3 linked regions of the Oryzias latipes genome follow. The protein of the gene in region 1 purifies or fractionates together with the protein of each later gene. This does not show direct contact. Links are inferred from orthologs where the notes say so. Each region holds a gene or a part of one and is shown in the gene's direction. Other genes may lie near its edges.

Region 1 (3,753 bases):
GAGGAACAAACTTAATGAAATCAAGAGACAACATTCGCTGGTGGGAAATAAAAATAAGGCAAAGAATTTCATTGATTTTGAGGATTCGTGTCTCTGCACGACAGCAGTGCAAACTGCTAGATATCTTAGAAAAACCTTATTGACAGATCACAGGCTTTAATATACATTTAGGCTTTAAGATTGACAGAAAAAGGATTTAGACTCGCAACATCTGCATGAAAGCAGGATATGAAATCACTTATCCATGAGTGGACTTAATAAGGTGGCTACCTGTTTTCTATTAGATCCTAAGGGATTTCCTTCTGTTTCAGCAAAAGTTCTCTGGCAGTCTGAGTCTCTTCCTGAATATGAATGATACTTTTTATTAAATATGAAAACAATCCAAAGGAAATGGAGGAAGTTTCCATCCACCAAAAAAAAATCCTCTTTTGAAGTAACAAAATATGTATCTGAAGTATCCTTATGTAATTTATAAAAACATTTATGCATTTTTTTTATTCAAGCATATCATTCTTTTATTCTGTCATCCTTGTTTTTTTATAAAATTATTATTTTTCTATTGTTGTTTTTTGTGTAATTTAAATGTTGCTTTAACTTCTTAACTTTACCTTTGACTCCCGTGTTTCTTCATTGGGAACCTGGCCTGCTGAGTCCAGGGCAGGGATCTGCAACCTGAGGCTATGGAGCCACATGTCCATCCATTGTGGCTCTAAGGTTTAAAAAAAAAAAGGGAATGATTTGAAGAAATTATAAATGTGAAGTTTGGAACAAAATAATAATAAGAGTTGTAGTGTACTGTCTGAGTGTTTTTTGTTTTGTTTTTTTCAAATAAGCCTTAAAGCTCTTTTTCTGATCCTCTGCGCCACAACACTGTGTAGTTGCTGTTCAGAGACAAAGTTCTTATAGTTTATAAGTTATGATGCAGCCAGAAGATCTTATTTGGTACAGGGTGTAATTTATTTTTAAAGGAATTTGGATAAGCGGCCGTCAGAAGTAAAGCAAGTCCAAATTTGTATGCATAGAAAATATAAAGGCTGTGTTATTTCAATTATTTTAAATATTTAATAACTTTATTTTATAGATGAATAGATGATTGGCCAATACAACATATAGGGTTTTTTAATAATTAGAAAAAAATGTGGGAAGCACAAGTGTATGTATAAAGTTTCGTGTTTTTTTCATTGGGTGGGTGAAAGCCTGTTTTTTGTGTGCATTGGCTTTTATTATGTAATTAACTTAACAAGTTAACATAACAAATAAAATGTTGTAAAACGAGTATGTACTTTTATTTTATTTTGTTTTTATCGAACTGGACATGGTTTGATATGTATTAGAGCTTAGAATTGTCAAACCTGGCAACCTTCTTCTCTTTTTCGCTTACGGCCTGTTCTTGCGCATGCTCACTTCATAGTTCAGGAAGAAAGGAAAATGTCTCTGACGAGGTAAGTCTCTAAGTGAGGCCTTTTGGCGAATAAGGCACAAAATGCGATCGGAGTTTCTGTCTGTGTTTGTTATACATTTATTTGGTTTAATATTAAACGTTAAATATTTAGTTAAACTTTAAACGTTTCGCTCTTTTCTGTGTTTATGATGTTAGCTAATGCTAGCTAGTGCTAACTAGTGAGACGGGGTTAGCATTAGCTTGTACCCTCAAACGACCGTTTCTGAAGTTAGCTTGTTTGTTTAATCTATTACTTAAACACATGTATTTGATATCGTGTTAAATAAACCTCTTTACCTGCATTAACGTTTCAGGTTTGCAGTTTTTGTTCCTGCTACTTTGACGTCGTTTCACGCTGATCCGCGTTTACAGCGACTTGCTAAGTTGTCTTTAAACTGCATTATGTGGACCTGTTTTGCACAGCTATTTACCGGCACCGACCCAGCTGTCTCAGGACCAGCTGGAAGCAGAAGAGCGGATTCGGACCCAGAAATCCTATTCCACTGCGCTGGTTGCGTCCCGTAAAGAACCCCCTCCTTACGGACACAGAAAAGGCTGGGTTCCGCGTGCATTTGAGGTGCACTTCAATGGATTACACATTGGTTCACTGCCTAGTTTCGCATTTCTACAAAACATTCTGGGTGTTCCTAGGACTTCGGAGATGGCGGGGCTTTTCCAGAGATTCACGTGGCCCAGTTTCCTCTGGAGATGGGCAGGAAGAAGAAGACCTCTAACGCCCTGGCAGTTCAAGTGGACGCAGAAGGGAAAATCAAATATGATGCCATTGCCAGACAAGGACAGGCTAAGGATAAGGTACTTGAGCTTTTCCTCTTTCTGGCAGTCAGTGAGGAGCTTTAAAACCCTATTCTTGCTCTTAGTGTCCACAAATACATGAGAGGTTCTGACTTCTTGGTTCTATTCCTATCAGACACGGCTGTGTTTTATTTGTATTTTTTCACATAAAAAAGAACCAACAAGTCAGTTAATAATACAAGACACGATGAACTTTATCAAACTAACATGAGAGGTTCATTATATGACTTGACAGATTCTAAATTGACCTCTAAAAGTCCAGCTGAAGAACCGATGTTCTGGATGACAGAATCTCCACAGAAATGTGGGACCTAATCTTAACTTTGGTAATACAGCTTGGTTTGGTTGTCATTTAAAAAAAATGCACACTATAGTGTTTTGTTTTTTGTAAAAACCATGTTTGATCCTTACATTTCTATTGGTGTTCATACACGACACTCCAGACGCATGTGGGAGGAGCTACCGCCAAACGGTTTTAGCCTCATTGCTGCAGACAGGGATGATGTTGAGATATCACGTTTTTCTACTTTGAAGAGCTCTACAAAAATGTCGATAGGCACGTCTCCATGTCTTGATCAATGAGATCATCCAGAGACTCCCACATCTGCTCCTGAAAGGGAAACCCAGTTTGACGACTTTCTGTTCTGCATTCAGGACCTTTTTTTGTGTGTCTTGATCCACTTATAACATCTTCAACGCATCCCGGTCCGAAGAGGAGTCCCTGATTGGTTGACGCGGCGCATCTTGTTTGCCGAAGTTCATATTTTTGAACTCTTGACGCACCGCAACAGCCAAAAAAGCGCGCGGCTGCCAGACTGGTGTGCAGCTCCAAAATCAAATCTGATTGCTTCTTTACGTTAAGCTAACATTAAAACTGGACACTCCTAATGCGCAAATGGCATTTAGTGTAAACGCAGCTTTACACAATCTATCCTATTCTATGAGTCTGCATGTTTTGCCATATTGGTAAATTTTGAGTGAGATTATTTCTATAATTTTCTTCTTGATTTTTGTAGGTGATTTACAGCAAGTACACTGATCTGCTCCCAAAAGAAGTTCTTAATGAAGACGCTTCAGGCCTTCAGAAGCCGGATGAGGAGGCTGTAGAAGAGGTAATTTGCTGCTCGGGCTCGTGCAGACATTCAGGATTCATTCATCCGATTTGGTGAAATTGTCTTTCAGCGTGCCCTTACTTATTGTTTTTAATTACTGTAAGCATGTGTAGTTTCTCATGGTTGGGGATGGATGCTCTTTGCAGTTGACTGAGAAGACTCGGGCCGCTCTACAAAAGCAGGTGTCGCAAAAGATTGCTGCAGCCATGCCTGTCCGGGCCGCCGACAAACTCGCTCCTGCACAATATATCAGGTAGCAATTTACCTGAATCATAAACAGTACTTCTATTTTAGATCGAGGACTTCTTTGTTGTTCCATCAGATCCTCTTGGATTTTGCAATCACACCAGTTCACATGAATTCAACCAATTCTTGCGACGTTTTTGC
Region 2 (3,747 bases), on another chromosome or scaffold:
CTATTTAATGAATTAACTAAATCCCTTTATGCATTTGACCAATCAGATATAGCCCTTTACGTTGTTGACCAATCGGATGGAGCTCTTACGTTAGATGTTGCCCTACTAATTAGACGAGGGTCATTTGGAAGATAAATTTAAGGTATTTTGACTCTTATTTATACTAAACATTTGAAGGGAAATGGAAATGTTTTTGTTGTTTTTGCTATTTGTTCATTTTTTGCAAGTTATATCTTCATCGCAATATTGATCACTAATATCGCATATAGCGAGTTTTCCTCATATTGTGCGGCCCTACATACTATAATGCATACACATACCAGTACTTCCCCTTTCTTGGCTATTTACTCTTGGTTATTATTTCTGTATTGTTAAGATGAAATGCCTTCAACGTAAACTTATAATTTTATATACATTATTTAAAAAAAAATATTGAAGTGATGATGAAGTATTTTTACAAGATTGATCACATTTGTATCAGAAGAAAAAGCTATTTATATATTTTTTTAGAACAACAACAAAAGAAAGATAAAAAAAGCATTTATTTGTTGAAATTTAATATGAAACTCTTTAAAGGTTTACTGTAGTGCAGTAATAGCTGAAACCTGAAGTTTGTTACACTACACATCTGCAAGAAGCTCCTGGGGATCTTCTATCAGTCTGTGGTCGCCAGTGTAATAACCTACGCTGTGGTGTGCTGGGGGGGGAGCACCTCAAAGACAGACTTCTCCAGGCTGGAGAAGCTGATCAGGCGGGCTGGTTCTGTGGTTGGCACAAGGCTGGACCGTCTGGCTACTGTGGCAGAGAGAAGGACACTGAAAAAACTGACAGGTATCCTGGACAATACCAGCCACCCTCTGCACATGACTATCGGTAGCCAGAGAAGCACCTTCAGCAAGAGGCTGCTCCTCCCAAGGTGCGGGACTAATAGACTGAGGAACTCCTTTGTCCCCCGGGCCATCAAACTCTTTACCACCCCCGGGCCATCAAACCACTTAGGAGGGGGGAGGGGGACAGAAAGGAAAGGGAAAGGGCCTGAATCACTTTTTTTTTTTTGTATATACTGTTTGCAGATATTTAAATTGTTTTTTACTGTTCTAATCTTCCTCATTTTTCTAGTCACTGTGCTGCTTTTTCCTTTTTCCTATATGTATGTCAACCAGTGCTGTATGCGATGGAGATGTCAATTTCCATGCGGGAACCTCCCAAATGGATAAATAAAGTTGTCTATCTATCTACTAAGCTGCAGTTCCATTCCTCAACGCAAGAGGCGACAATCACGATTAATACAACACCGTTGAGACTTTTATTTCGGAAAGTTTTGACCGGAAACGGAAGTTTCTGATTAGCCGTTTGGAGTCTGTTAGCAGAAAAGGACTTTCTTTCTTTATTTTTATTTTTTTTTACTGGGGAGCGAACATGGCTGGAACGGCCTCGGTCGCTGGCGAAGTGTTTGTTGATGCGTTGCCGTATTTTGATCAAGGTTATGACGCACCAGGTGTCAGAGAAGCGGTGGGTAAACAAGAATGCTGCTTTAAAAGCTAGCTAACTTATAGCTAGTTAGAACTGTTAGCTAGCGATGCCGCATGGTAACGCGCCGTTCAATGTATAGTTGGCCAAACCATTATTATTATGATCGCCTGTATATTTCTTTAGATCTTGTCATTATAGGTTTCTGCTTTGAAACTATACAAGTTCATAATTTAGGATGAAAACCTTCAAAGCCAAAGCTGCTGTTTACCTCATCGGGTAAAACAACAGCTGAGGGGTTTGAAACAGCCGGCAGATCTGGAGAACCAGGGTTTGGTGACACTAAGTTGACATGTTAGATCATCAGGGGTTGTGGCTCATTTTTAAATCATGTTTGTATGAAAAATGGAGAGAAATCATTTGTACTTGGCCCTTCAGGCCGCTGCGTTGGTGGAAGAAGAGACCAGAAGGTATCGCCCAACTAAGAACTACCTGAGCTACCTGCCCATGCCGGAGTTCTCGCCGTTTGAGGTGAAAACCTGCAGACATTTGAAACTTGATTCCTAGTCTGGGTTGGCTAACCGGTTTATAATCCTTTCCCGTTTTGTTTTGGGTTTCAGACAGAAATCATGAGGAATGAGTTTGAGCGATTAGCCGCTCGACAACCAATGGACCTCCTCAGCATGAAGAGGTAAAAAACACACTCTGTCTGTCTGTACAATATTTCTGTAAATGTAAAAGAAAGAGAAAGTTTAGGGTGATTCCATAGAACGATTCTATTCTGCTGTGGAGGTATGAGCTTCCAGCCCCCACATCGGGACAGAAGAACGACATTACCGCCTGGCAGGAGTGTGTCAATAACTCCATGGCCCAGCTGGAGCACCAGGCCATCCGGATCGAGAACCTGGAGCTCATGTCGCATTATGGAACAAACGCGTGGAAGGTCTACAACGAGTGAGTGGCGGCCTGTGGGTCTCACCCTTTGGTGTCTGACTCTTCTGAAGACTCAAAGCTAATGTTGTCCCTTTTCAGCAATCTGGCCTTCCTGATTGAGCTGGCTCAAAAGGAACTCCACAAGTTCAGGTGATTGAGGATTGGATCATACATGCCTGAAAAGATCCAACGGTTACCATGGTTACACATTTCTGAACTTATGCCGGCAGGAAGAAGATCCAGGACCTGAACTGGCAGCGCAAAAACGATCAGTTGGCTGCAGGCGCCAAGCTGCGAGAGCTGGAGTCCAAGTAGGTTCTTCTTAAGTTCTGGTGTTCTCGTGGATGAGGGGTGATGTCTGACTCTGGTTCTGATTCCCGCCAGCTGGGTGTCGCTGGTCAGTAAAAACTATGAGATCGAGCGCGCCATCGTCCAGCTGGAGAACGAGGTGGCTCAGCTGAGGCAGCAGCAAGGGGAGGAGAACAAGGAGAACATCCGACAGGACTTTTAGGAGTCACCTCACCGGGATCCGTTGGATGGATCTGATTCGGTTGGTTTGGACGACTCGATGACTGCTGGAGCGTAGCGGGTCACTCGACTCCAAGACGGATGATGTTTGAAAGGCGTCGGTTTCCTCTGATGGAACCGTTGGGTCTTTTGTGTTCAGTTACACACAAATCATGGTTTGAAACTCATGATCGATCGACATGATCGATGTCTTTGTAGCTTGTTGTACAGTTTCTAAGTTGTGGTGGAGAAAAAAAATCCTGTTTTTGATTCAACTTTTGTTTTTTATCGTTTTAATAAAATGAACGTTTCATACACATTGTTATTTTTTTCAGTCTTTTACCTGTAAGTCTCTGAGCTTCAGAGCTGCAGCTGATGAGCTGGAAGCTAACAGATGGGAGCAGCTGGATGGTTTGTCATTCATCCCTCTTGAAGAACAGTGAAACCTAAAGTCTGAGGCCTAGAGTGAGGCGGTTTTGTGTCAGATCCCCTGTCTTCTGTACATCCACTGAACTTTGATCTCAGAAATCTGCAGCATTTTGTGCTGATCCATTTTCAAAAGTCTCAGCGTCTTCCATGACTTCCTGGATGAGTCTTCATCTTTGTTGTTGGTCAGTGGCACAGAAAGGTCACAACACATTAACTCACAACACATTAACTTACCACACAACACATTAACTCACAACCCAAAAACTCACAAAACATTAACTCACAATGGAAGTAAAGCTGCAATGGAGGTGCTTTTATCCTGAAATTAATTAGTGTATATATATATATATATATATATACACATCAAGCTCAAGGCCCCAACTGACAGTGTCCTCAGTGAATGTCTCA
Region 3 (3,753 bases), on another chromosome or scaffold:
TGTCCCTGTGTTGTGAAGAACATATGAGCAGCCTGGTGTCATTTCTGTGAATTTAATCAAGATGTTCCTCAGATATCCAGTTGAAATAAAAAGATCATCACTCCTAAAACCTGCCTGTTTATTCTGATATCAAACATTAAAGCAGAAAAGGAAACTAGTTATATCCACCAGATCCAACTATTTGATCCATTCATTGATTTATCATGAGTACTGGTACCAGTCTGGTCACTTGGTACCAAGCAGCAGAGAGAAAAAATACATACTTGGCAGTGTTTTTATTTTATTTTTTATCTGATTATGAAGGACGTTTTATTTTGTAAAACTCTGCTTTGCTGATTTATTCTACATTTTTTTTCACACGTTCTTGACATTTTTATTACATGTCCTCTTTTTTCATTTAAAAGGTGATTAAACTAATTAAATTTCATGTTTAGTGTTTGGATCTGACATAAAGCCGCTCTGAAAAAAATGCATGAAAACTCACCAAAACTTGCAGACCGCCAGTACCTGGTAAAAATGAAGTCGATGACAGCATGGCAAGCGAAACCATAAAAAAAATAATAATAAAAAATTAATGAGCCGAAAATCGCTAATGGAGGCACAAAAACAGTCAAAATACACTAAGGAAACCATACAACACATGTCGGGGATATCCAAAGGACGTTTTGAAATTATTGTGGGCCACACAACCCACTGCTTGGCAGCTGGTTTGTGGCAAAATTGTGGCAATTTTCATGTTTTTCCACAATATGAGAAAAGTCGACCTTTAGCCTCGGGAAGAGGTCTTTGAAAAAAACCTGTAGTAGCAGCTACACACGAAAACTACAAGGTATTTTCGTCGATCATCTAACTTCTCGGTCGTCATTGGCAAGCTCCTGTGCAAAGAATTTTGCAACTAGAAGCTCGCTAATTTTTATGGGAATGTCACAAAAATTGAAAAATAGGGCCCCCTTCTACACACAACCCCCCACTTCTTTCACACCTCCGACCCCCCTAACTGATTGGGGAAATACAATGAGAAATAATGAATTGATAAATGAATAGGGCAAATATTTCCTAAGAATCATCGCATTTACCAATCAGGGACTCAGCTTTGGGTATGTGCCGTTTTCAGTGAAACAATCAGCGGGTAGAGAACACATCCAATGCCAGCGCTTCTGTTTTGAACTTCCATCTATTTTGTTGACCTGCTGGGGTCACGGGGTTGCCGGAGCCCATCCCGGTTCCTGTTGGGCGAAGGCAGGACATTATTTAGAGGTTTTATAATTGCACCATTACAAAGTATGTAGTATTCGGTTTATGTATGGAACACTTTTAAAATAAATAACATTGTAATGATTACATCTTTTTAAATTAGATTTCCGTTTTGTCATTTTATCTGGTAAGAAACACATTTTTGGGGACATTTGACTCATTTTTCTCAGCTTTGTTGTTGCTACTAATAGCAAAAGGGTAGGAGGGTTAAGATTTACCCAAAGTAATTATTTTTCCTGCTTCCTAAAATAACATATATACATATGAGACAGTCATGGTATAAGACTACGTTACCCACAGTGCCTTTCGGTGACTACTTGTAAGAATACAGTTTCCGGTGTATCCGTGCATGTCGTTTCTCCTTCGTAGTGTTGCTAGTTTTTAGGGAGAACTGGAAAATCTGCTAGACTGAATAGCGGGTGTTAAAGCAATATTTAATTTTGTTGACGGAGAATTCAAAAACAAGCCATCAAGATGCCTCGTATTATGATAAAAGGAGGGGTTTGGCGTAACACTGAGGTAAGTGTTTACATGGCTAACTGTTAGCATGCTCCTAGGCTAATCCTAAACCAATGGCGGGAGGTTAGCATAAAGCTAAAGGCCGTACTCTCCACAGCACGTTTATGTACACGCTCTTTTGTCCGCGAATTTAACTTTTGATATCGATGTTTTTAGTTGGAAAAGGTGATGAAGGTGGTGAAAGTGCAACATTTGCAGCCGTCTTCCTCTATGCTAGTCCTGAACGTCCGCTGCCTTCTTCACGGGGAGGAGACTTGCTGCTGCTGCTCGCTCTGCAGCCGGGAAACTTTAGGCAGATCAGCATCCATGTCTTTTTTATTTAATTTTTATTTTTATTTATTTATATACACAGTGATGAAAGTCTTCCGGGAATTCCCGGAAATCCGGGTTTTTGAGCAAACCGAACGTACTTTCCGGGAAATAAAGACCTGATCTTTACGGACAAATCGCTTTCCGGATGAAAAAATGGTCTGAAATCGGCGAATTTTAGCTTTATTTTCTATATTTCTCCGCGGATCGCTTCCTATATGGTCGCGGCCATCTCTCGTCTTCCCGGCCTAATTGACCAATGACGGGACGTTTTAGTTGCTTTCGGATGCGTCGACGGGTCTGATTGGCTCTGTCTGCACCACGTGGTCAGCGTGACTTGCTTCCCTAGAGACCAAAACTGGCTGACCCACGCTAAACTTTCACAAACAAATCTAAAGAGTTTGCGATCAAATTTGTGTTAAAATAATGGCAGGCATCGTCATTATTGAGCGTGGTCACGACCTCAGTTGTGAGAAGACGATAAAAAACAAATTGAAGTGGTCTTGGCTGGAAGAAAAATATTTTTAAGGTAGTGTAGGTCAAATACTTTTTTGTGTAAAATAATCTCAAAACCAAATTCAGAAATAATTTCAGTTTTAGTTTTGAGTTTCAGTTTTTATTTTGAATACATTTCTCTATCTAATTTATTTGTATTTCCTAATTACCATGATTTAGTTCAGTATAGTTGACATTAATTATAAGTATTTGATGGTTTGGACCCGCACTCCCTTAAAAAATAATGTTTACAATATTTAATTTAGTTTGTATGTTTGTTTTGATATTTCCCAGATTACTTAGTATTGGTGTTAAAGAATTGATGTATTATGTTATAGAATTATAGTTTAAAGCAGATCCCATATTTTGATGTAATTATAGTTTGAGAAAACAGTGCAAGTGAATGTTGTACATCAGTCATTTCTAAAGCAGAAATAATGTATAAATAACTGAGGTATTTTCATAGAATATCATAGTTACTGGTGTTCTTTTTGCCATTTGGGGCTTTGATGTTACTATATTTTAGCAATTGTATCTTTTGCAGATTTTAGGAAAAGCTTAGATTGTAGGATTGTTATACTTTGAGCAATGATCCAAATTCTTTTTTAGGACCAGGAAGTCCTTAATGTTAAGTCAAACTAGGGGTTTGAATGACAAATGATGATGCTCCAATTAGTCTTAGTTTCTTGATTAAGAAGTGAATAACGAGCTGCCAGAATGCACCAGAATGCATCTAAGACTATGTATTTTTCAAAAATTTCTCTCTGCGCCGCCATATCGCTCAAAGAAAAGTTCAGGGATTTTTTCCTTGCCTGACTTTCATCACTGTATACAAAAGAACACGGGCAGTTAATGGCAACTAATATTAGGAGATAATGTAATGTATTTATGGCCTGCAGGATGGATCTGGGTGGGCAGGGCTCACCTGTTAAATGTAGACAGTATAAGGCGCGTGATTCATTGATTCATAAAATGACAACTGCTAACCAAAGCAGTAAGTCGTTTGTTGTTTAGTGAAGTCTTTGTTGATTATTTGTTTGTTTGTTCAGGATGAGATCCTCAAGGCGGCGGTAATGAAATATGGGAAAAACCAGTGGTCCCGCATCGCCTCCCTGCTGCACCGCAAGTCTGCCAAACAGTGCAAAGCCAGATGGTGAGTTTGATGCCGAAACACAT

What was found.
Region 2: the proteins of snw1 (region 1) and bcas2 purify together in Homo sapiens (co-immunoprecipitation; 3 studies listed by BioGRID and IntAct, with this or other methods). This does not show direct contact. The link is inferred for Oryzias latipes from reciprocal best matches to the Homo sapiens genes SNW1 and BCAS2.
Region 3: the proteins of snw1 (region 1) and cdc5l purify together in Homo sapiens (affinity purification with mass spectrometry; 5 studies listed by BioGRID and IntAct, with this or other methods). This does not show direct contact. The link is inferred for Oryzias latipes from reciprocal best matches to the Homo sapiens genes SNW1 and CDC5L.

What each region holds. Positions count from the first base shown.
Region 1 is NC_019882.2:3,679,170-3,682,922, reverse strand, and holds the start of snw1 (SNW domain-containing protein 1), read left to right. Parts: upstream 1-1,315; 5' UTR 1,316-1,428; coding exon 1,429-1,442; intron 1,443-1,864; coding exon 1,865-2,018; intron 2,019-2,092; coding exon 2,093-2,254; intron 2,255-3,270; coding exon 3,271-3,366; intron 3,367-3,512; coding exon 3,513-3,619; intron 3,620-3,753. UniProt on the Homo sapiens protein: Involved in pre-mRNA splicing as component of the spliceosome. As a component of the minor spliceosome, involved in the splicing of U12-type introns in pre-mRNAs.
Region 2 is NC_019865.2:942,918-946,664, reverse strand, and holds bcas2 (pre-mRNA-splicing factor SPF27), read left to right. Parts: upstream 1-1,315; 5' UTR 1,316-1,419; coding exon 1,420-1,512; intron 1,513-1,908; coding exon 1,909-2,001; intron 2,002-2,090; coding exon 2,091-2,161; intron 2,162-2,262; coding exon 2,263-2,424; intron 2,425-2,502; coding exon 2,503-2,553; intron 2,554-2,633; coding exon 2,634-2,714; intron 2,715-2,787; coding exon 2,788-2,914; 3' UTR 2,915-3,227; downstream 3,228-3,747. UniProt on the Homo sapiens protein: Required for pre-mRNA splicing as component of the activated spliceosome. Component of the PRP19-CDC5L complex that forms an integral part of the spliceosome and is required for activating pre-mRNA splicing.
Region 3 is NC_019873.2:1,355,320-1,359,072, reverse strand, and holds the start of cdc5l (cell division cycle 5-like protein), read left to right. Parts: upstream 1-1,559; 5' UTR 1,560-1,728; coding exon 1,729-1,773; intron 1,774-3,626; coding exon 3,627-3,730; intron 3,731-3,753.